3 separate regions of the Mus musculus genome follow, and all the other regions are reported to be linked to region 1. The links are microRNA targets in miRTarBase. Many come from high-throughput screens and were not tested one by one. Region 1 holds a microRNA gene; each other region holds the end of a gene's coding sequence.

Region 1 (7,492 bases):
TTCTTCTTAATTGTTTAGTTCTCAGAATCTCATGACTCAAATATGCTTCAGTGCACCATCTTCTTTTCCACAGCTGGGTACCTCATATTCTCCTAAATATGTGAGGCCGCATCCATTGTAAGCAGCTTATTAATGCCCTTCCTCTCTGTGTCTTTTGCCAGTTTCATAAATCTCTACCCCTCAACACTAGTGAACAGGCCGAGTTTTCCCCCTTCTACTGCCCCTAGTAAAGTCCCTCTCTGTCATGTGACTAATTCTCATCTTTGAAGCCACGCTCATCCCCTTCCTGGAACCTCCCATGATGCCACTCAGCATGAAGGACCATCCCCCGACCCAAGACCTCTCCAGGCGGGTGGTGCCCCTTTTCCCTCTCTGCAGACTCTCCTTCCCACTTTAGGTTTCTACACCCAGCGTATAGACCCTCCCTCACTGTCTGTGTGTCTCTGTCCCCCAGATGTACGGGGACCCCCTATGCACCGAACCCAATACGTTCATTCCCCGTACGATCGTCCTGGCTGGAACCCTCGGTTCTGCATCATCTCGGGGAACCAGCTGCTCATGCTGGATGAGGATGAGGTGAGCGGGGTGAGGAGGAGGTGGGGCAAGCGGAGAAGACTGACCACGGAGAGAGGACGATGGGGAGAGTCCTCTTCAGTGAGCGGGAGAGAGAGAGAGAGAGAGCCCTAAGAACAGGAAGGAAAAGAGACAGGAGGTGGGAGGAGGGCGGCCATTGGGGTTGTTGTACACAGCCAAGGTGTTAAGAAGATAGACAACCTTTCTTTGACTTCCACTAGAAGGTCTTTGAGGCCATTGGAAGTGCTGCGGAGGAGCTATGGTTCTGAAGTCGTGAGGGTGCCTACTGATTTCACCCTATCCATATTATGGGGGAAGGAAAGTGAAGAGCTTAAAGCAAGTGAGGAAGGGGGGCCTTCCTTCCTCCAAAGGGGTCCTCAGCTTTCTCCTCCCCGCCTCTCCTAGCTCTTCATCACAGGGCACAGTGCAGGCTAAGACTAGGCGATCCTGAGGAAAGTCAGGAGAAGTGGGAGCGGCTGGAGGGACTGACAGACCACAGGGGTCACTGGATTTTGGCATGAATGGAAACAAAAATGGTGTGAGCTTCAGACTAGGTTTCCTTCTGCCTCTACAGGGAAGGTTGGGTTTCAGGAGAGGACATGGAAGGAAGAGGTAGACAACTGTAGTGTGGGGACCTGTGCACAGGAGCAGGACTTGGACTAGCCAGAGTGAGGAGGTGGAATGGCCAGGGCAGGGCGTCTGGAAGGAGATGGTTAGTGGTCATGTGAGGTCTAAGAGTCTAAAGGGTGTTGGTTCCATAGTAGGAATGGGCCCAATTCTGAAGGGTGAGGCCCCCATTTGTGATTTGGGGAGCCATCTTCAGAGAGTGTAGGGTGCCCCAGTAGAGGCAATGAGAGTTGTGCCTAAACACTGTGGGGGCTGGGCTGGATTTGGGGCTAACCAGGGTGTAGAGGAGCCTTGAAGTCAGGTGAAAATGTGGACAGAGAATGTCCAGATCATGAACTACAAGTGTCTGACAGGGAGCATGGTAATTGGCCGCAGGAGAGGTGGCCTGGTGGACCTAAGTTTGGAATACTGGAAGGCCTTTGAGTGATTTGCTATTGGTCATCAGCCTTGACTAAGGATTTGAAGTCCATTGGGTGGTCTGGGAAAAAGAGCCGATAGGAGTGGGAAGTGCAGCAGTGAGAAGGAAGGAATCAGACATGGAGACAGGGGACCCACTAGCCACCCGAGGCCAACAGGAATAGCCTGTCTGGTAGGAAGGTGGGAGTGGGAAGGCGAAGATGGAGCTGGAAGAATGAAGGCCCTTGGGAGCTAGAATTGGGCGGATGGTGGGGCTGGGGCCTCGTGGGAGTCTAGCTTCTGGTAGGGGTGGAGGTTAGGATGACGACTCCCAGGGGGAGCTGAGGTGAGGCCTAGGGAAAGGTAGAGCTGAGGGGAAGAGGGTAAAGGAAGAAGATGCAAAGGGGGGTGGGGGGAGGTGACCAGGCCTTTTTGGGGGAGGGGAGGTTGGGTCCCAGTCTGGCCGCAAGCCGGGCTGTGGGAGGGAGACAAGCTGTGGAACTGATTATAAATGCAGCTGTGACAAGCTTGAGAGAGAGAAGGGGGCGAGGAAGGTAGGAGGTTGGGAGGGAAGCGGGGGAAAATGGACGAACTGAAGGTCACAGGGAAACCAGACTCAGGAGGTAGCTAACTCCTGTGGATTTGCTGGAAGCGCTAGTGGGGTTTGGGAGAATTCTCTAAACTGTTTGAAGAGAAATGGAGGGAGAGCAGGGAAACGAGAAGTCCCCTCACCAGGGCCAAGGGAAATGGGCAGGGGTGGAAGGGGCAGGTGGGCTGGCAAGGGGCCGGCCTTCCATGAAAGGGGAAAGGAGGGATGGCGCAGGCCCGTGAGGTCTGACACACTCCCCAATCCCCTAGATACACCCCCTTCTGATCCGCGACCGGAGGAGCGAGTCCAGCCGAAACAAACTGCTGAGACGCACCGTCTCTGTGCCAGTGGAGGGGCGGCCCCACGGCGAGCATGGTACGGCGGCCGAGCAGGCTCGTGCCCCGGACAGTCTCGGGGAGCGCGGGCGGGGGCGGAGAGCAGCCGTGATCCCGATCCCGATCCCGAGGACAGGGCGCCCTCGTCCGGGCTGCCGGGCTGCGCGGGGTACCGGGGCTGTTGGTGAGCGGCCCCCGCGCGTCCATACACTGCTTAGCTTTGCTCCCCTTTCCTCTCCAGCAGTGAAGTTTGACTGTTTCCCTGGTGCTTGTAAAAATAATCTGCTTAGATCTTTAGTCTCCTGTCTGTGCTCCTGGCCCAGGCCCTCGCATCCTCCTTCTGAGAACTTGGAATGACCTATTCCCTGCCCTCCCCCAGACCCGAGTCCCGCTCGCAAGCTCCCATCTTTTTCCAGATCTTCAGGCCTGTGGCCTTTCCTTCATCTTTCCCCCTCAATTGATTCCGTTTTCTGCAGTCGTATCACTCCCTATTTTCTTGATTTTCCCCATTCTCATTTTCCATTTCCCCTTGATCCCCGTGTTCCTCCCCTCTGCTCTGGGAACTCCGTCAGACCCCCATCTCCTCACTGTCTCTCCAACTCTCTCCCTCTCTCCATCTGTCTCTTCCCCTTCCTCCTCCCTTCTGCCCCCCACCCCCCTCTTTAGTCATTTAAAAAAAGATTTTTGTCTTCCTCTGAGAAGTTCGCTTAAAAGGTTTCCATGGGAACAGTGAGGGGAGATGAAGGCAGAGAACAGGGATCTGCAGCCAAGGTGCAGAGAGACGCCCTCAGTCCCCGGAAGCCCCCTGCCACTGCCCAGTTCCTCAGCATTTCTCTTCCATGACGCCCACCCAACCCCATGAGACCCCTTTATCCCACCATTTCTTCCTCCCCAGGGTTACAGGCTTCCTTAGAGAACCAGAAGCCCCTGTTATCCAGCCAGCTGCCTGCTGATAGGCCTAGGCCTCACTGCCCTTGGGGGCCAGCTTTGGCACCCCAGGCTGGTGGTCAGGGATGTATGTCACTGTCATGGAAACTGACATGAGGGTGTAGGTAGCACGCTGAGGCTAACCAGGAGGCCGCTGTGGTGAAGAGTGTATAGAGAATGGGTGATGTCTGTCTGTCGAGTCCATGTCAGGCATGTTTTTTGTTTGTGCAGTGTGTACCTGTGTGCACTGGAATGGTAACATGCTCACAGAGCGTGTTTGTCATGTGTCCTGCTGTTGGCAGTTGGCCGCTCTGCCCACACAGTTCTGTTTCCTTAGAGTCCTCAGAGTGCTGAGGCCTTTGGTGTGGGTCTCCTGTGTTTAGGGTGAAGTTAAGGTGGCCTGTAAAGGTTACTGACTGTATTGGGGCTTAGTAAAGGCTGGGAATGTTTCGGAGATATACATATATATCTCTGAAATATTCCCAGCCTTTACTTTATATATATATATATATATATATATATATATATATATATATATATATATATATATATATAGGCAGGGTTTATTAGAAGTTAGTAGGTGGTGAGTGTTTGGAATCTTCTGAGGAAAATAGAATGTGTAAAGGGCATGGAGGATGTGCAGGGGACATAAAGGGTTTTGGGATTGGGGGGGGGGGCTCCACTTTGCAAAGGTGTTTGCTGAGGCTGTGGACGCTCCAGCCCGGGAGAGGTCGCCGGACCTTTGAGGGCATTGGAATCTAGGGCTCCTCCTCTGCTGGGTGGAGCTGCAAACCCTCACTCCCTTCAAGGGTTTCTAGCTCTCTCTTTCTCTCTCTTTTTGGGGGTGGGGGTCCTGTTCACGAGGCGATGATGGGAGGCCTAGTTGGTTTTGGGGGTCCCTCTGTCCCCCTCCCCCGTCTCTCTCGCGCTGTCTCCGGGCGACGGGGCTCGTGACAGAGGCGGCCACGGCAGCAGCGGTCGCCTAGCAACGGCGGCGGGGCCCGGGCAACGGCGGCAGCGGCGGGAGCGGCGGCGGAGGGAGCCGTTCCCGCGGCTGTCACCGCGCGGCCGTCCAGGCCGTCCCGGGCCCCGCCACCGCCCCACCGCGTCGGGCGGCGCGAGCCGGGCCGCCGCCCCCTCTCCCTCCGCACCCGCCCCTCCCCCGCGCAGAGCGGGCCCCTCCCCCATCGGGGGACACCCTCGACCCCCCGGGGGGCGGTGCGAGGTAAGGGCGGGGCCGGGCGGACGAAGCGCGCGCGTGGGGGGCTGCGCGCGTGGGGCGGGGGCGCGCGTGTGCGTGGGTACGGGAGGGGCCTGGGGAGGCCGCGGTGGCGGCGGCGGCGGCGGCAGCTGCTCCCTCCGCATGTTCTCGCTGCATCTTCCGAGTGGGGGGAGTTATGGTAACCGGAGCGGGGGGGGGGGGCAGTAGAGGTCGGGAGGGAGGGGGTCTGGGCAGCTTCCTGCTTGTGACCGCGCGTGGGGGCGGCTGGTGTGAGGGGGTCTTGGAGCCCTACTGGAGGGCCAGCCCTGGTGTTTGCGTATGTGATCTTGACCGTGGTTGTGCCCCTGTGTGTCGGTGCATGTGCACATGGGGCCCAAATCCTCTTGCACACGTGTAGCCAGCACTGTGCAGGTATGTCCTGTCTTGCCCCGCCTCTGCCAGTTAACAGCCTGAGGGCCTGTGGGGCCAGCCACCGGTTTATGGGGCAGTCTGTGGACATACTAATTCATGTCACCTCTGACCCTGAGTGTGCATGTCCCCGGTTGAGGTTGATGTGTAGGAATGTGTGGCTGGCCAAATGAGAATTTTCAGTGTCCCTGGTGGCAGGTGTGTGTCTTTGCATGTGTGTTCCAACACTGGCCTGAGAATCTGTGTCAGTCCCAGCATGGGTGTCCAGGGCGTGTCTGGATGTGGGTGGTGGTATGCCAGTGTTCCGGTGGTGAGGACAAAGTGTGTGAATGGTTCCTTACAGTCTGACTGCATGAAACACCTTTGGACTAGGCAGATATGAGCCTCTCTGCCTGGCCCCTAGATGGGGACAGAAAAGCTTGAAGGGAAAGAAGTGAAGGGGTAGAGGGAAGTAAGGATGAGAGTCACCAAGAGGAGGAGAGCAAAGAGCAAGGGAGAGAGAATGTCTGGAGAATGGGAATCTAAGAGCACTGAGCTGGACTTAGAGAAAAGAGGGCAGAGGACAGGGAAGTTGGGAGGTAGCTGAAGAGCCAGGCCTCTCTGTGGAGCATTCTGAGAGGGTGGAGAGAAGTGGATGCAGGAGGGCCTAGGCTGCCCCGTCTGTAGGAGGCTATCCAGTCACAGAGGCTGCTTCCCAGTGAGGCCTGTCACCACGGAGACTGCAGAGCGTGCCCTCCCCCCAGGTTCTCTGCTCCCTCTCTAGCCCAGCTCCTCATCTTCCTCTGGCACCCTCTCTCCCTGGCTCCCTTTGAGAGCTGTCAGCTGGATATGGAGAAGAAAGGCTACACGTAGGGTAGGGATTTGGGGGATTGGAGGGTAGGAGAAATGTTTGTGGGTGATGTCAAGATTAGAGACATTGGAGAGGCGGAGTCCAAGCCCTTGCTCTGTGTGTGTGTGTGTGTGTGTGTGTGTGTGTGTGTGTGTGTGTGTGCAGGGTGTGTACTGTGTGGGTGTATGCACAATGCCTATGTTACGGGTCTGTGTAGGTGGCTGTTGTGTGTGTGCTTGAGTGTATCTATCATGCAGGGATGGGACATAGAGACCCAGCATGGCAGTGTGTGCTTTTCAGGTTTGCTGTGTGTACATGGCTGTGTGCTTTTCTCTGTCTATGTCACCGCAGGCAGCACTAATGACAGGACACCCCATGTTCCTGTCAGTCTGCCCTCTCCTGTGCTTTTTGCCTCGTTCTTGTGTCAGAGTCCTTGGGAACATGTGTGTGGCCTCCATGCACCTATGACTTATTTTTGAGGTCCTGATATGGTGTGTCTTTCCTCCAGGAACTGTACAAAGCAATTAGCTGATTTTGCCCCCTCTGCAAATGCTTGTAGTTCCAAAAGAAGGTTTTAGTGGATTTAAACTTAAGGCCTCTATGCCTTTATTAGAGATGCATGTGTGTGAAAATAATGGCTGACCCAGGTTCCCTGGAGTGAGAGTAAGGCAGCCATACCTGAGAGATGCAGAAGAGTGGATGAGGAGGGAGCCATGCGGGGCTCTGGGTGACACAAGGCTCACTAACACATTTGCTCCTCATTTTTTTGTTTTATTTGTTCTGTTTTCCTGGTAGCCATCACAGATGCTGGTGATTAGAGTCATGGAAAAGCTAGAAGAAAGCTGGGGGGGGGGGTGTTGAGAGGAGGGAGCTGTCCCGAGTCAATGAATGTGTTTGTACTGTTAATGTGAAGGATGAGTGTTTGTGCTTTATCTGACCATGGTCAGGATGTATGTGTACACGGTGCAGGGGCGACCCAGGGGGCTACAGCCTACTTAAGCATGGGTCTCAGGGTTTACATGTCCATTTATGTAGGGTACTGCCCACATGATGGCCGCAGAGTCCACTCCAGCAGTTCTCATGTGGCTGTCTGAGTTCAAGTGTGTCTACCCCATGGCAGTGCTCACAAATGTCTAGGCATGTGGGGGTCCCCATGCTCAAGGCTGTCTGTACGTCTCCCCGAAGCACATACTTTCCTATTATTTCTCCTAATGCGGCTGTGATATACATGGTTGCTGTATTTTTGTGCTCTACACACGATTCCTGGGAGACTGAGAGGGTTCTCGTCTCGGGATCCAGACTTGCTTGTGTGTGCAAACCTGAATCTGTCCGTAAAAGGAGCAGGGAAGGACCGGCTCTGAGGCAGTGGGCAGTCTGGAAGCAGACATGAAAATGTAGTGGGGTTTTCACTGTTTTCTTCTGGAACCTAGCGGGTTAACAAGCCGTTCTTCCGGTCGCACCCCCCCCCCCCAGCCTGTAGCTTCTTGTTGCCATGGAGATGGTGGCCCCGCCCCTGATGCAGCACCAGCCCCCCCATTGGCTGCAGTGGTGACTGTGGGGCTGAGGGGGGAGCCCAGGCCTGGGCA
Region 2 (7,492 bases), not on the chromosome of region 1:
TCTTACTTATCAGCCAGACTTCTTTCCTCCTATCCTGGGCAGTTGAACACTATTCTAAAAAAAAGGAATGTCAGGGCGGGAGAGATGGCTCAGAGCAACTGCTGCTCTCGTAGTGGATCTGGGCTGGGGTTGGGTTCCTAGCTCACAACTCTGCGGGACCACAGTTCCGGGACTCTAATCCATTTTTCTTTAGATGCTGGTCAGACCCAGGCACGCTCTTTCTAGTACTATAGACTTTCTTATTCCTTCTTTAAACCTCCTCCTGGTCATGATGTGGCTGAGGTCCAAAAGTCAGCTTAACTCAGGCAGTGTGACCTTTTGTTTCCTTCCTTCTCACCATCGGCTGGGATGTACAACTTGCCTGGTATTTTACTTTTAAACCCTAATAAAACTGTCCTTGAGCTTGGGGCAACATTCCCAGGGCTGGATGAGCTCCAGCTTCGATGTTTGGCAGATCATTAACAGCTGACGTTTTCCGAGACCTGCTTAATGAGAACTGCTCCTTACTGCGCAAATGGTATGTGCCAATGAATACTCTTCTCCGTGTGCATCTGGTGAGCTCAGCTAGAATAGAAAAGCCTGCACGGGATGGTGTGCGAGCTGAGTTGTCACAATTCATTCACTTCGCAGATACTTCCGAAGCACTGCTTACACTGACTAGACTGGCCTGGTTCAGTGATAATGAGAAAACATGAAGACACCTGCTCCCTAGGAGCTCACAGGCTGGAAGGAAAAACAAGAACAAGACATGAATAGAAGGCATTGCATATACATAGCAGAAAAGTGTGGCCTGCCCTGCAAGAGGCCTGGGACCTCAGAGGGTGGAGTGGCTCTTCTGGCTGGGGGTTTGCAATCTCACAGAGGACCTGCTGGGTCAGAATGGTAGTAAACATGGAGAAGGCCCAATGCACAAGCCAAACATGGTCCCTGCTCTCGTGAGCTTACAAGCTAGCAGTCATATTAACCAGGAATAGGAAGTAAGAGTACAGCGAGGTGTGCTGGGCTCGGGGCATGTGGTTTGCATTATACGAGTCACAGGATCAAACAGGAAGCACCCGTCTGAAAAGTTTAAAAAAAAAAAAAAAAGCCAGTTGCAAGGTGATGGAGCCACACTATCTCTGTACTCCCATCAGTAAGCCCAGGATAGCTGGACATCCTGTGTCCTGCTGCTGCTCCTATAGCCCGAGTTCCCAAGCTTCTTAAAAGTGACCCCACTGAGTGTGTTCTGACACCAAAATAAGGGGCCATTTGAATGACATGGTTCTAAATTGCAGGGCCAACTACTTTACCTAGTACTCAACCAAAGAAGCAGTGATCTCCTCCCACAGAGGCAAGAACTGACTGCAAGAACCTCATGATGCTAGCCTTCAATGTGGCGCCTGCCTTGGGATTTCCAAGAGGTATTTTGATTACTCAATTTTTACCTTGGGCATTGACTTATGATCTAACCCAGGAGTCAGCTAAGATTCCTTTATGGCAATACTGGGACATGCATAAAAGGAAACCAAGCCGGGCGTGGTGGCGCATACCTTTAATCCCAGCACTTGGGAGGCAGAGGCAGATGAATTTCTGAGTTCTAGGCCAGCCTGGTGTACAAACTGAGTTCCAGGACAGCCAAGGCTACCCAGAGAAACCCTGTCTCAAAATAAAATGAAATAAAATAAAATAAAATAAAAAAATAAAAGGAAACCAAAGTAGACAACTGTCTCTTAAAACCTTGATCATAAGAGAAATAAAGAAGGCAGAACTGCAACGGGACCTGAAGGCATACACTGTGCAGTCTGGAAAGCTAGTGAAATCAAGAGGGATACAGGAACTAGTAGCCATGAGGGTAAGGGAGAAAAGAGAACAGGTACAGATACTGTCAGAGACTATATCTTGACAGCTCCATAGGCTATCAAAGAAGTTTGAAATTTTTTTTTTTTTAAAGATTTATTTATTTATTTATTTATTTATTTATTTATTTATTATATGTAAGTACACTGTAGCTGTCTTCAGACACCCCAGAAGAGGGCATCAGATCTCATTATGGATGGTTGTGAGCCACCATGTGGTTGCTGGGATTTGAACTCGGGACCTTCAGAAGAGCCAGTCAATGCTCTTAACCGCTGAGCCATCTCTCCAGCCCAGAAGTTTGAAATTTTATTCCAGAAACAATGATGAAGTTCTGGAAAGGTCTCAAGCACAAGCATAGTTAAGATCAGATTGATATCTTAAGAGTTCATCTTGTTATACATGAAAATATGCCCAACATAGCTAGGCGTGGTGGTGCATGCCTTTAATCCCAGCACTCAGGAGGCAGTAGCAGGCAGATCTCTGACTCTGAGGCTAGCCTGGAGTTCCAGAACAGCCAGGGCTACACAGAGAAATTCTTTTTCTTTTTTTTTTTTTTTGTGGCTGGAGAGACAGCTATGGGTGCTAGGAACCGAACTCTTATATTTTTGGTTGTAAGCCTATTTCCCCAGCCTGAGAAATTCTATCTTTGAAAAAAAAAAAAGACAAAACAAAAATATTGTCCAACACATGAAACCCTATCTTAAAACCACAGACACAGACACAGGAGGAAGAGGAAGACATAATGGCCAACATCACTAGTTATTAGGAAACTGCAACTCAGAACCAGCTAAGGGACTGTGGATGGAGCCCAGTGGTACAATACTTGTCTACATCTGCAAGTCCTGGGTCTGGTCCCCTGCACTGCCACAAAATAAAACACAGCACATACACAATGAAACACACTTCAAATTAGTAAACAATATTGGTGAAGACTTGATAAACTGGAATCCTGATATCCTCCATGGGAACACAGCTTGGCAATTCCTCCAAAGACTAAAGGTAAGAGCTGCCTTACGATCCATCCATTCTATTCCTATACAAAAGAATGAAAACACGCTGGGTGTGGTGGTGCACCCCTTTAATCCCAGCACTTGGCTAGCAGAGGCAGGAGGGTCTCTGTGAGTTCGAGGCCAGCCTGGTCTACAAATTGAGTCCAGGACAGACAGAGCTTGTTACACAGGGAAACCCTGTCTCAAAAACAAAAACAAACAAACAAACAAAAACCCACCTCCACCACCACCAAAACCCCCACATGTCCATGAAGGAGAACATGAAGGGGTGTTGCACACACATATATACAGAAGCCTATTCATGATCGTCCTGACTAGAAATCACAGAACGCCCATTATATGCACTGTAATGAAATATTTAGACAATTTAAAAAACTGAAGAGAAAAGACAAAACAAAACAAACCCACTGGCAGGCACAGTGCCACACACCTTTAATCCCAGCACCTGGGAAGCAGAGCTTCCTCTGTGAACTCAAGACCAGCCTGTTCTAAGGGCAGCCAGGGCCACACAATGAAAATGTCTAAGCGCACACGCGCACACACACACACACACACACACACACACACAGAGAGAGAGAGAAAGAGAGAGAGAGAGAGAGAGGTACTCACTACTTGAAATGATGATATATACCATGGCACAGATGAACCTTAAAACTAAGTAAACAGACACATTGCACATCGCATATAACATTTATGAAAGGTCCGTTATAGGCAAATCCACAAGGACAGAAAGATTAGTAGTTGCCAGGTCTGAGGAGAGGTGAAGGAGGACTGCTAGTGGGAACAGGATTTTTCTGGTGATAAATATGTTCTAAAACTGATGATGATAATGGTTCCACAGCTCTGTAAATAGACGACAATCAAATGTACACTGTACAAGGATAAACTGCATACTATGTACGTATCTCTCAAGTAAAAATTTGCCCCCACTACAATGTGTAGAATGAAGAGGGAGGGTTGAGAGAAGCTGCCGCAGAAAGGAAAGACAGAAGCAGGGGAAGGAATCATGGAATTATGATAGAGGAGGGCCAGAGGCCATCAGGCCCCTCTACAAAGAAGAGTAGTAGGAAACAAAGATGAGGTATCTGCAATTATTATGAAGCAGCAAAAGGGCATTTAATAATCTCCTACATATAAAGACTAACCCCACATGTACAGAAAGTGCCCTGAATAAAGTATACCCAGCTGCCTGCTGGGCTATCCTGACTACTGTCACTCCTAAGCACATAGGGTTCAAGGTGTTGAAGCTCTGGGCAGCTCTGAGAGCTGGCTGGAGAGAGAGATGCTGGGCAGACCATCACTTTAGGCAGTATGTACGTTTCTGGGTTGTCTGTGCTGTAAAAACTGCAATGCTGCTCAAGGGCATCTTTCCTGGTCAGCTCAAGGAGTTAGTTTTGAATACATACTGCCTACCTTCCATAAAGTCCTCCCCTCATCTCTAGCAGGAGGTTGACAAGTGCTCAAAGACCCTAGGCAAATGGGCCTGGGTTGCCAGATAGAACAATAAGAAAGCTGAGGATGGGTTGGGGCTCTAGACCCCACAGGCACATCTTCAACACACTGGGAGAACTGGAGCCTGTAAACGGATGGGGTGAGTCTCTGTTCACAATCTCATGGCCACCTTGTTCCCTGACACTTTGGCCACCTCAACAGAAAAACATGCTGCAGCCACAACTTCCAAGAATAAAATACCACTGAGAGATATCAACAAAGCCAGAATCTCTGCACCAGACCATTTCCTTGCTTCATGGGGAAACCAAGGCTCAGGCCCAGTGTGTAGAGTCCTGGTTGGCATCCAGGTCTCTGTTCTCAGGCCATTTTTCTTCTTACTCTACCAAAGTCTGAACCTCTAAGAACCTGACTGTAAGCTGTGAGCTACAAAGGGCAAGATAAACTTAGAAACCTTGGAGGACTTAGGTCTGAACTGGCAGAGAAATTAGAACTACCTTTTTCTAGGATCCTCAGAAGCCAAACCACTTTGGTTATATGCTCCCATCTTTCTGGGGGTAGGGTGGAGATGGGGGTGGGGTGGGGTTGCTAACCAAATGATACATATGATACAGTTTTGTTACGACTTAGTTCTGAAGTCTTCTGCTTCTTCATGTGCATCACTGTTCATTCACAGTGTAGGCAGCCACCAAGGGACACGTGCTCAACCACAAGTCAAGTGCTCTGTGACCTACTGGGCACAGAACAAGCCGAGCAGGTGAAGAGCTTGACATCCCAAAGGCATGCTTATGCACTCAAGTGAAACACCACTTTTAAGCCTGTAGAGCAATACAGTATTAAATACTATAAAGTAAAGTCAGATGAGAAGCCAAATAATCTACTTACTCCCTTTCCATGGTAAAATCATTTGAAAGGAGAATAAACATAAACTTACATTTTCTGAAACTACTGTCTTATTTGCTAGTTTTGAATAAGTCTTCAATAATAAGTCAGAGACACAAAGAGTGAATTCTCAGGGTATCATTTCTAGAAAAGTGGGAATAAACAAGAGCCCATCACAGATGGACAGCAGTTTCTTTCCTACAGTGGCCACAAAGCAAGTTGAACTCAAGTACAACAGACCATACAATTGGTACCATTCAAAATAATGACACTCCTTTCTTTGCCTTCTTCCAAAGTATATAATGTATATTTAACAACACAAAAGACACCACTTGAGCTTCCCCTTAGCCAACAGGAGGAATATCCACATATAAAAATTAAAAATTTAAACTTTTAAGTCATTAATAGTTTTTAAACATAATACAGACTTAAAAATTGTTCAACATCAACCCAAGACCCCACCCCTAAGCACAGAAATCAACTCCAAATCCAGAAGTCACAGTTGTTTGTCCCTAGAAGTCCTACAGCACTGAACTTGGTCTTTACACCAGGCTACCAGCCAGCAAAAGGCTCTAAAAGACTCCCCCCGGGAGGAATGGAAGCCACTGCTGACTGCTGCTGCAAGCATATCTACTCGGGAGGGTCTCAGGTCAGGTCTGAGAGACTTAGCCACCACACTAAGGCCCTGGAAGGCTGAGCTGGCAGCTTCCCTCATCTTCCCCCTCAAAGACTGTCCAGTAAGCACCTGAGAACTGACTTTTCTTGGAACAGGGTGCTGGCAAGATCTGTCAGGGCCAAGGCAACAATGAGAAGTTCAGTTCTCGGCTCTTTGGATGACTGTGTAAAACATTGCTTTTAAAAGACACAATGTTAAAAATATTAAGAAAATGTCTACAAAATCTGGAGGGTTGCCTTTAACTCCAAGGGTAAAGCTTGTGGGGTGGTGGGGAAGACTTGAGGACCCAGAACTGTAACTCTGCAGCACAAGACAGAGACACCCTTCCTTCAAAACTCATCACACTCTTAAGCTGTCCTACTAGGACAGCAAGTGTTCAGGGTGCAGGTAGGAGGAAAGGGCGCCAGCTCCTGCAAGGGAGGTTCCCACTGCACGCCCCACCTTATGTAAGAATGTCAGATTTAAGGGCAGTTGCCAAGGCCAGGGCATCAGGACTCTGCCTCTGAACCAGAGCTACTTTCCCGGCTGACTTCAATCTGGAGCGAAGGCAAGCTATCCAGCCGACTCTTCTTCTGGCGAGACTCTTCTTTCTCCTTGATCAGAGCACCCCATGCTCTCTGAAGCTCCGAGTCATCTTCCTCAGCACCAGATGCCCTGTGATCCACTTTCTTCGTGTTCTTTTCTTTGGTCTTGGGTGTAGATCCTAAGCGAGTCCACAAACCACCTGTTGGGGTGAGAAGACACTTCAGTTGGCAGTCGATGCCGAGTACCAAGTAGTTCTGTGGAAGTAAGGACACTGCCAACACCTGCTCTGCAGGAAACATCGGGAGAGGTGCTTGGTGCCAGTCTGTAAGTGGACAGCCTGAGACTCGATGGGAGATGCTCACAGCTCAAGGCTGGTGTCCCCATACCAGGCACAAACTAGACACTTGCCTCTCTCCCAGGCTGTGTACCCCTCAGTCTGCCAAGAAACCGCCAACTCTCACATTCTGCAAACTGAACGGGTCTGTTTTACTATGAGCAATTCTCAGGTTTTCAGCTATACATTTTTAAAGTGTGTTTATGTATTGGCTGAAGGCCTTATTGGTTAAGCGTACTTGTTCTTGCAGAGGACCTGGTTATGTTTCCAACACCCACATGGTACCTTACAACAGTCCATAACTCCACTTCCAGGGGATCCAATGCCCTCTTCCCACCTCCAAGGGCACCAGACATGTACACAGTACACAGACAAACATGTAAGCAAAACATAAAAAAAATCCCCCAAAAGAAGTGTTTTATTAAAACCTTACAAAGAAGCATGTGTTTAGAATGTGGTGATATACATATACTACAAGATAATTAAAGGTTTAATTTACTTATGAAGAGTAAAGCAAAATGGAAGAGTTATAGAAAAAAAGGCTACATAAAAAAAAACTAGATATATGTGTGAACAAAGAAACTAAATAATGTGAAACTAAAAAGCAGCAAGGATGTATAGCTTCTCCTTTCTCCTTCCTGAACTTTCCTGTAGGCATGGTGCTGATGCTGATGTAGACAAAGGAAGTCATGCTAACTGAAGAGGGAACAAACACAGACCTACCTACTTCTTATGCTATAACCACTGGTCTCCACTCCTTCCCTTCCATCACTGTGAAGT
Region 3 (7,492 bases), not on the chromosome of region 1:
CATAACCTTGCTGATTTGTGGTTGCTCTGTGTTGGGCTCTGTGTTGGGCACAATCTGCATCCAATTGTTTGGCGGGTAGAATGCCCTTTTATTTACGCTTTCCAGAGGAGAGGGCTCGCTGGGCTGTGTAAGCTGTGTGCTGTGTGTAAGCTAGTTGGTATGAGATATGGGGAGAAGGGCCACTCTTCGTTTTCCTTAAGGATTTCTAGAAAGTTTCGCTCAACACACCTTTACGACTATCTGGTGTCTTTCTGACAGGTATGTGGAGTTTAATCTGTTGTATGATCGGGGCACCAAGTTTGGCCTCTTTACTCCAGGATCCAGGATCGAAAGTATCTTGATGTCTTTACCTCTAACAGCAAGGTAAGAAGCTGATTTGTCATAGTAACCCTTGACATAGTAACTCTGTCATAGTAACTCAGTGTCCTATAGTGAGTAACTCCTGTCATAGTAACTTCCTGTGCCCCATGGAATCTGCACATTAGCCTTGACAGGGTGTTACCTAATACTTCATTTATGTTTGTCTGATTTTTATAAGAAAACTGTGAGAGAATAAAGCCCAGATTGGATTCTGTAAGAAGTGACAGGATGTGTGTCCTATGCGCTTTGTATCTGAGGATGTGGAGAGAGCAAGTGGGAAGCTGAGTCTGGCCTTTCCTCACAGCCTTCTTTCTAGAAAGATACATTTGTAGTGTAAAACTTAAGCTACCTGTGTACTACCCAAGGCTCTATACTTTATGAAACCCAAGTTTGTAATGAAAGGATCTTAGTATTAACCCAGATATTCCTAAGACTTATTAAGAAATTTACTCTCTTAAGTAGCTGATTTTTTTATATATATATAGTAGAGACACAGTAGTCACAGTGGGGTGGAGGAACTATGCATTGTTTTTACTCTTAGGGTTTTATTCTCCATTAGTTATGTATGTCATTTATTGTTATTTTGTTTGCTTTTTTTTTTGTTTCGTTTTGGACATGCGTAGATGGGAGTACATGCATTCTCCCCCAGAGAATTCCAAAGAAGCTGAAATTCTGGAAGTGTTGCGCCATCCAAAGGACTGGGTGCACTGATGCATCAGACAGAGCCTTGCTCCAGGGCCTGGTGGACACAGGTGGTGTCTTCGTGCACTGTGGCCACTGTGTGGCAGGCAGTGTCTTCCGTGCCTTACTGTCCCCGCCTTCTTCACCCTGGGCACCCCGTCTGTGGCAGGCGGTTTTGATCTTTTCCAGTGCTGTGGGAGGAGGTGGCTCAGAGGTGGGTGGGGATGTCAAACTGTCAGATTCCTTGTCTGTGACATCCATTTGTACTTTTAGAATAATTTTCTGTGACCAGTCAGTTTGACATTGTGTTTCCAGGTCTTTGAGATAAGGGAATGTAAATACTATGATAGGTACCAGGAAACTCTTCATTTTATATGTTGCTTGAAGTTTTAGTTTTTGCTACAGAAGTTTATCAGGGAATACATTTTATCTTCATTAGTTCAGTCAGGATGCCCTTCTTGGGAACTTTGGAATGCAATTTGAAGCCAGTCCGTGGTGATGTTTGCCTTTAATCTCAGTATTCAGGAAGCAGAGGCTGGTGGATCTCTGTGATTTTGAGGCCAGGCTATTCTACAAAGGGAGTTCTAGTCCAGCCAGGGCTACACAGAGAAACCCTGTCTTGAAAAAGAACCAACCCCCCCCCCCAAAAAAAAAAACGAAAAAAAGAAAGAAAGGAAGAAAGAAAGAAAGCAATTTGAAGAAACATGTTTTTCTTTGTTGCTTTTGAAGTTTCTTTGACGTAATTTTCATGTATCTTTCTCTATATTCCAGAATATTATAAAAAAATACTCATTTTTTTTTTAAAGATAGCTATTTAAGAGCTCTGGAAATTTTCTTTAGTCAGTTTTTGTATTATATAATGATGACCTAGTTTACAACTGCAGATGGCATTATTATTATTTAAATAAGTGATATCTTCAGTGGTAAGGTTTTTGTGAGATCATAATTAGCTAACATTAGGATTCTATGTAATTTTGAAAGTGAAAGCTTATATCCCTGGATTCTGATACTTAAAAGTTTTATATTTTAGAGACTTAGATATGGGAGATTAGCCTAAGGACAAATGAAACACATTTTTTTTCTCTTTAATTAAAGAGAATGGAGTCTAACCTGGGCATTTTATATTTTTTATTTAAAAAATGGGCCAATAGAAATTGTGTTACTTTTTAAATTAGAGATTCTTCAACTTTTATCTTTTCTTTTAAAAGTCACAGCAGATTTCTTTTTCTTTCTTTTTTTTTAAAAATTAGGTATTTTCTTTATTTACATTTCAAATGCTTTCCCAAAAGTCCCCCATACCCCCCCCCCACTCCCCTACCCACCCACTCCCACTTCTTGGCCCTGGCGTTCCCCCGTACTGGGGCATATAAAGTTTGCAAGACCAAGGGGCCTCTCTTCCCAATGATGGCCGACTAGGTCATCTTCTGCTACATATGCAGCCGATTTCTTAATGTGTGGTTTACTTGTCTAAATAATAGTCTGACTGCGCTATGTTACTTGATTTATAATATATTGAATTTGTAAAGAACAATATTTAAATATTATCCTGGAATATGTTGGATGTATGTGATTGTGTTTGCCACTTTTAGGGTAAGAAAATCTACAGATTCTTCAACATGTCTTACATAGATTCAGCTAATAAATTTTATTATAACATAAGAAAAGTATTTGTTTCCTTTATTGTGATAACTTAGTACAAATATTTCTCGGTATAGTAGTAGTTCTTTATTACTAGATATTTTACCCAAGAGAGAGATCCATTTTTTCATTTTATTTTCTTAGCCATTTTACTAAAAATAGTTAAAATTAAAAACTCAAGTGCAGATTAGCAGGTAAATGGATAAACAGTTTGTGACTTATGCAGACATTAAAACTCAGCAACAGAAAGGAGTACTGCCTGAGAAATGCTAGTGTGCAAGGCATCAGGAAGATGTCAGAAAAGTGCCTGCTGTCCAATGTCACCTGTGAAGACTTCACCAGGGAAGCAGTCAGCGGCTGCAGGTGGGGCACTAAGGTGTTACCTGTTCTGTGGCTGAGGTGACAAAGGTGATTATACTCTGTACATTTATCAAATTCCCTTGAACTCAGCATTACAACATCAGAGAATTTTCTTATATCTGTAGGTAACCTTTCAGTAAAGAAAGACATAAGAACAGATGTTCACATACCCCTGTCTGGATACCTTTTAAAGAGCTAAAAATGTCAAGCTGAGCATATGGTTTAATGGCAGAGCCTGTCTAGCATGCATGAAGTCCTGAATTTTATTCCCAGAACTGGGGTGGTGGTGGTGGTGGTGGATCACAAAGATCCCTGGCTGATTTAATTGTATTTAAGGCTTGTAGGTGTTAGACACAGACACAGATGAAGTTTTAAAATCCTACCACCTTTGTTTGGATTCTTCAGTATCCACTCTGAACTCTGTCTGGAAGACCAGGAACAGATGTAAACCTGAAGAACATTCTTTTTTTTTTTTTTTTTTTTTCATTTGCTACACACACACACACACACAGTTGCTTCAGGCACACCAGAAGAGGGCATTGGATCCCATTACAGGTGGTTGTGAGCCACCATGTGGTTGCTGGGATTTGAACTCAGGACCTTAGGAAGAGCAGTCAGTGCTCTTAATCGCTGAGACATCTCTCTAGCCCTATTCTTCAAAATTAATTGCTCTTTCAAAATCTTATTGACATCTGTTCTGAGTTTACAAGGTGAAGGTACACCCCCATGTGGTATAAACACCTAACTCCTGTTGTCTGACACAGGCGTGTTGTTGGTTATAAGGGTATATCAGGCAAGATATACATACACAGGGACACGTATATAACTGCCATCCTACTACTGCACTGCGCTTGCTTAGATTAGTCGGATTTCTTTTACTGTAATGGAATACCAAAGGCTAGGTATTTCATAAGGAAAGGTTTAGGTTGTCCTTCTGGATGCTGAAAATTGAGAATCAGGCAGCTCCATCAGTTTGGCCTTTTAACGGGGCCTTTTTGGCTGTTTCACAATGTGTCAGAGAAGAGAGAAGTGGCCATCTACAGTATAAGCCAAGCAGGTGCAGGGGATGTCCTTTGTATCATTCTCATGACAACTGACTTCTGAGGAATCGTCATTTATCCCTTCTCAGAACAGTGTATCTGGTGACCTAACTCCCTCACATTAATCTGGATCTCTTCAAGTTTCCACCATCTTGAAAAACCCACAGAGAGGACCAAATCTGCATCGTGTGAACTTCCAGGAGTCAAACAACAATGGTCAACTAAGTGTAATACTTTGACATGCCCAGATCTGAGCCAAATAATGCGTTTCATTAGGACACAATCTTTCATGGGTCTTTTGTTATATTTTAACGAGATATACGTTACTTGAAAGTTTGAAACTGTGTGAGGAGCCTTGCCTGGGTAACTCAAAGTCCCCTCCATATTAGACAGTAGGGCGTGGTGCCTCCTGGTAGCTCAGCACACCCACCATGGGACAAGAGGGAAGTGTCATGTCTTGTGTTCTGGTCTAACCTCTGAAGTTCTGTGTTGTTATGTGTTCTTCTGGTTCCCACAGCGGAGGGCAGGGGGCGCAGAATTATTCCCTAAAGCTTGCTTTGCCTCTAGTCACTCTGGTCCTTCAGAATTGTTTATCTAGATCCCTTGACACTTCCATCCTGAATAGTCAAAGCAAGTCCTATAGACAATTCTAAGTTATCCTGACGTTGAAACCAGTCCATTATTCGGCCCTTGTTGATGTTGGCCTCTCGTCCTTTTTCTCCTGTGCACTTTGCCTTCAGACTGTCTTATGAGCATCCTCTCAGTTGTGTCCCCTCTGGTCTTTTGGTACTTGCTGTCTTTGCTCGGACTGTTTCACACTTTGTCATATCTCTAAGAATCCTGCCCTGGAAATAGTCTTATCTTGTGCAACATATTTCTTATTTTTATTATTACTGTCATTACAGTAGTCATTCGATGTAAATTTCATTATAAACAAATTGTGTTAGATGTGGTTTATTCACATTACTTAGGAGGACCCTGTTAATCCTTTGTTTACAACTGTTTTTGCAGAATATTTTGATATCAAACCTAATACTGTATGTGATTCCTAATCCATGAAAGCAGAGTTCCAAGGGTGTATCTAGAAAAGTCCATTTAAAAATTGTGTTCCCCACCATAAATACTAGCTAGGTGTTTGAAAGCCCGCATTTTAAAATTTAGTGCCTCCCAAAGAAATATAGAAGGTCTAACTTCATAATAACCCTTAACCAGGACACTTAAGTTAGTGAGCCTAGGGCTTACAAATGCTTGACTAATCCTCCTGCGTTCCTGGAGTCCCAGTCACAATAGAGAACCTCACAGACCAGTTTCTATGAGCGAGGTGTGCCAGCAGAGCAAGGTCATTAAACCACATTCCAAGTTCAAGTCTACACGTTAAGCTCATTCAGCTGGTATTCTGAACTCTCCCCTGCAGTCTCGTATCTATTTCACACTTGAGAAACACGTTCCTCAGGGTCCCCAGTGAAGGAGCTAGAGAAAGGACCCAAGGCGTTGAAGGGGTTTACAACTCCATAGGAGGAACAACAATATGAACTAACCAGTACCCCTAGAGCTCACAGGGACTAAAGCATCAACCAAAGAAAACACATGGTGGGACTCATGGCTCCAGCTACATACGCAGCAGAGGATGGCCTAGTTAGTCATCAGTGGGAGGAGAGACCCTTGGTCCTATGAAGCTCTATGCCCCAGTGTAGGGGAATGCCAGGGCCAGAAAGGGGGAGTGAGTGGATTGGTGAGCAGGGGAAGGAGGTAGGGGATAGGGGGGGTTGTAGGGGAAACCAAGAAAGGCGATAACATTTGAAATGTAAATAAAGGATATATATATATGTTCCTCCCAGAGCTTCCAGGGACTAAACCACCAACCAAAGAGTACACATGGAGGGACCCATGGCTCCAGCTAAATATGTAGCAGAGGATGGCCTTGTTGGTCATCAATGGGAGGAAAAGCTCTTGGTTCTGTGAAGGCTTGATACCCCAGTGTAGGGGAATGCCAGGGGGGGGGGGAGGTGGGAGTGGGTGGATGGGGGAACACCCTTATAGAAGCAGGGAGAGGGGATAGGGGGTTCTGGAGGGGAGAGGGGAAACTGGGAAAGGGCATAACATTTGAAATGTAAATAAAGAAAATATCCAATAATTAAAAAAACACGTTTTAACACACAATTTGTCACGATCTAAGCCACCGTATTCTCAATAAGTTACCACAAAGCTGGCCATAGGATGAGAGTTGCCACACTACCCTGTCATAGGTAATTTGCTTATGAAGTGGTTGGTAAGGCCCCCAACTAAAAAGTTCATTTTAGTACACACACACACACACACACACACACACACACACACACACACACACACTTTTTTTTTTTTTTGAGACACGGTTTCTCTGTGTAGCCTGGCTGTCTTGGAACTCTGTAGGCTAAATTGACCTTGAATTCAGAGATCAGCCTGCCTCTGCCTCCTGAGTACTGGGATTAAAGGCACAGGCCACCATCATCTGGCATGAAAACACATATATAAATTAGTCTTCATGGCAATTTTTCCATGTTCAGGTGTGACTAAGGTCACTTCCAGTTTTCAGATGGGTAAGGCAGAAAGCCCTTTACATGATCTGTTCCATCTGGGATGTACATCCTGCTAACAACACATATAATATGTGAATCCACCCAGCTTATCAAATTCTTGAAGTTCTGTTGTGAAAATAATTGGGTCAATAAATATCCTTGCTGGGATAGTGATGTATGCCTTTAATCCCAGTGCTTGAGTGGCAGGGGCTGGGGCTGGGGCAGGGGCAGAGGCAGAAAGGCAGATCTATGAGTTCAGGTTGGCCTGGTCTACAGAGCAAGTTCCTGGACATTGAGAAACCATGTCTCAAAACAAAGGATTGGAGAGATGGCTCAGTGGTTAAGAGTACTGGCTGCTCTCTTAGACATCCTGAGTTCCATTCCCAGCAACCACATGGTGGCTCACAATCATCTATAAAAGGATCTGATGCCCTCTTCTGGCACACAGGTATACAAGCAGATAGAGCACTCATCCATTAAATAAATATACCTTAAAGAAAACAAAACCAACCAAACAAACAAAACAAAAAAATTCCAATGCATGCCCCCCACCAAAACCAACAGCTCCACCAACCAAAAACCCAACCAGCCAATAAATAAATATCCTTTAAAATATTTTAATTAGTATCTCCAGCAATACAACTCGGCAGCTTCTACTCAAGGTAGTTTTTATTATCTTCCTCTTTTATGCTATTCAACATGAAGGGATACTTTAAAAGAATATATTTTGGGGTTGGAGAGACAGCTCAGCAGGTAGAACACTGGCTGCTTTTCCTGATGACCTGGGTTCAATTCTCAGCACCCAAAAGGCAGCCCACAACTGTAACTCCAATTCCAAGGGATCTAACCCCCCCCCCC

What was found. Region 1 holds the annotated microRNA mmu-miR-3083-5p (AGGCUGGGAAUAUUUCAGAGAU, at 3,915-3,936, opposite strand). A microRNA usually pairs through its seed, bases 2 to 8, with sites in the 3' UTR of a target mRNA and lowers its output. Matches are read on the target gene's strand: a 7mer-m8 pairs with bases 2 to 8, a 7mer-A1 pairs with bases 2 to 7 and ends in A, and an 8mer does both.
Region 2: the mRNA of Ncbp3 is a reported target of mmu-miR-3083-5p. Seed matches in the 3' UTR shown: 7mer-A1 at 4,114-4,120 and 7mer-A1 at 2,395-2,401.
Region 3: the mRNA of Cpox is a reported target of mmu-miR-3083-5p. Seed matches in the 3' UTR shown: 7mer-A1 at 1,631-1,637.

Annotation. Positions count from the first base shown.
Region 1 is chr17:26,944,179-26,951,670 of GRCm38, forward strand. Mir3083 (microRNA 3083) reads right to left here and starts at 3,941; the gene lies at 3,878-3,941. It overlaps Syngap1 (synaptic Ras GTPase activating protein 1 homolog (rat)), which reads left to right. Exons shown (of 19, transcript NM_001281491.2): 2 at 455-576; 3 at 2,455-2,560. It overlaps Gm51291 (predicted gene, 51291), which reads left to right and starts at 3,882; the gene lies at 3,882-3,938.
Region 2 is chr11:73,078,026-73,085,517 of GRCm38, reverse strand. It overlaps Ncbp3 (nuclear cap binding subunit 3), which reads right to left. Exons shown (of 13, transcript NM_025818.3): 13 at 1,939-6,577. The coding sequence ends at 6,342. Among named protein-coding and RNA genes, the nearest start is that of Itgae, 8.8 kb to the left of the region's middle.
Region 3 is chr16:58,677,687-58,685,178 of GRCm38, forward strand. It overlaps Cpox (coproporphyrinogen oxidase), which reads left to right. Exons shown (of 7, transcript NM_007757.2): 6 at 259-363; 7 at 984-2,705. The coding sequence ends at 1,071. Among named protein-coding and RNA genes, the nearest start is that of Cpox, 11 kb to the left of the region's middle.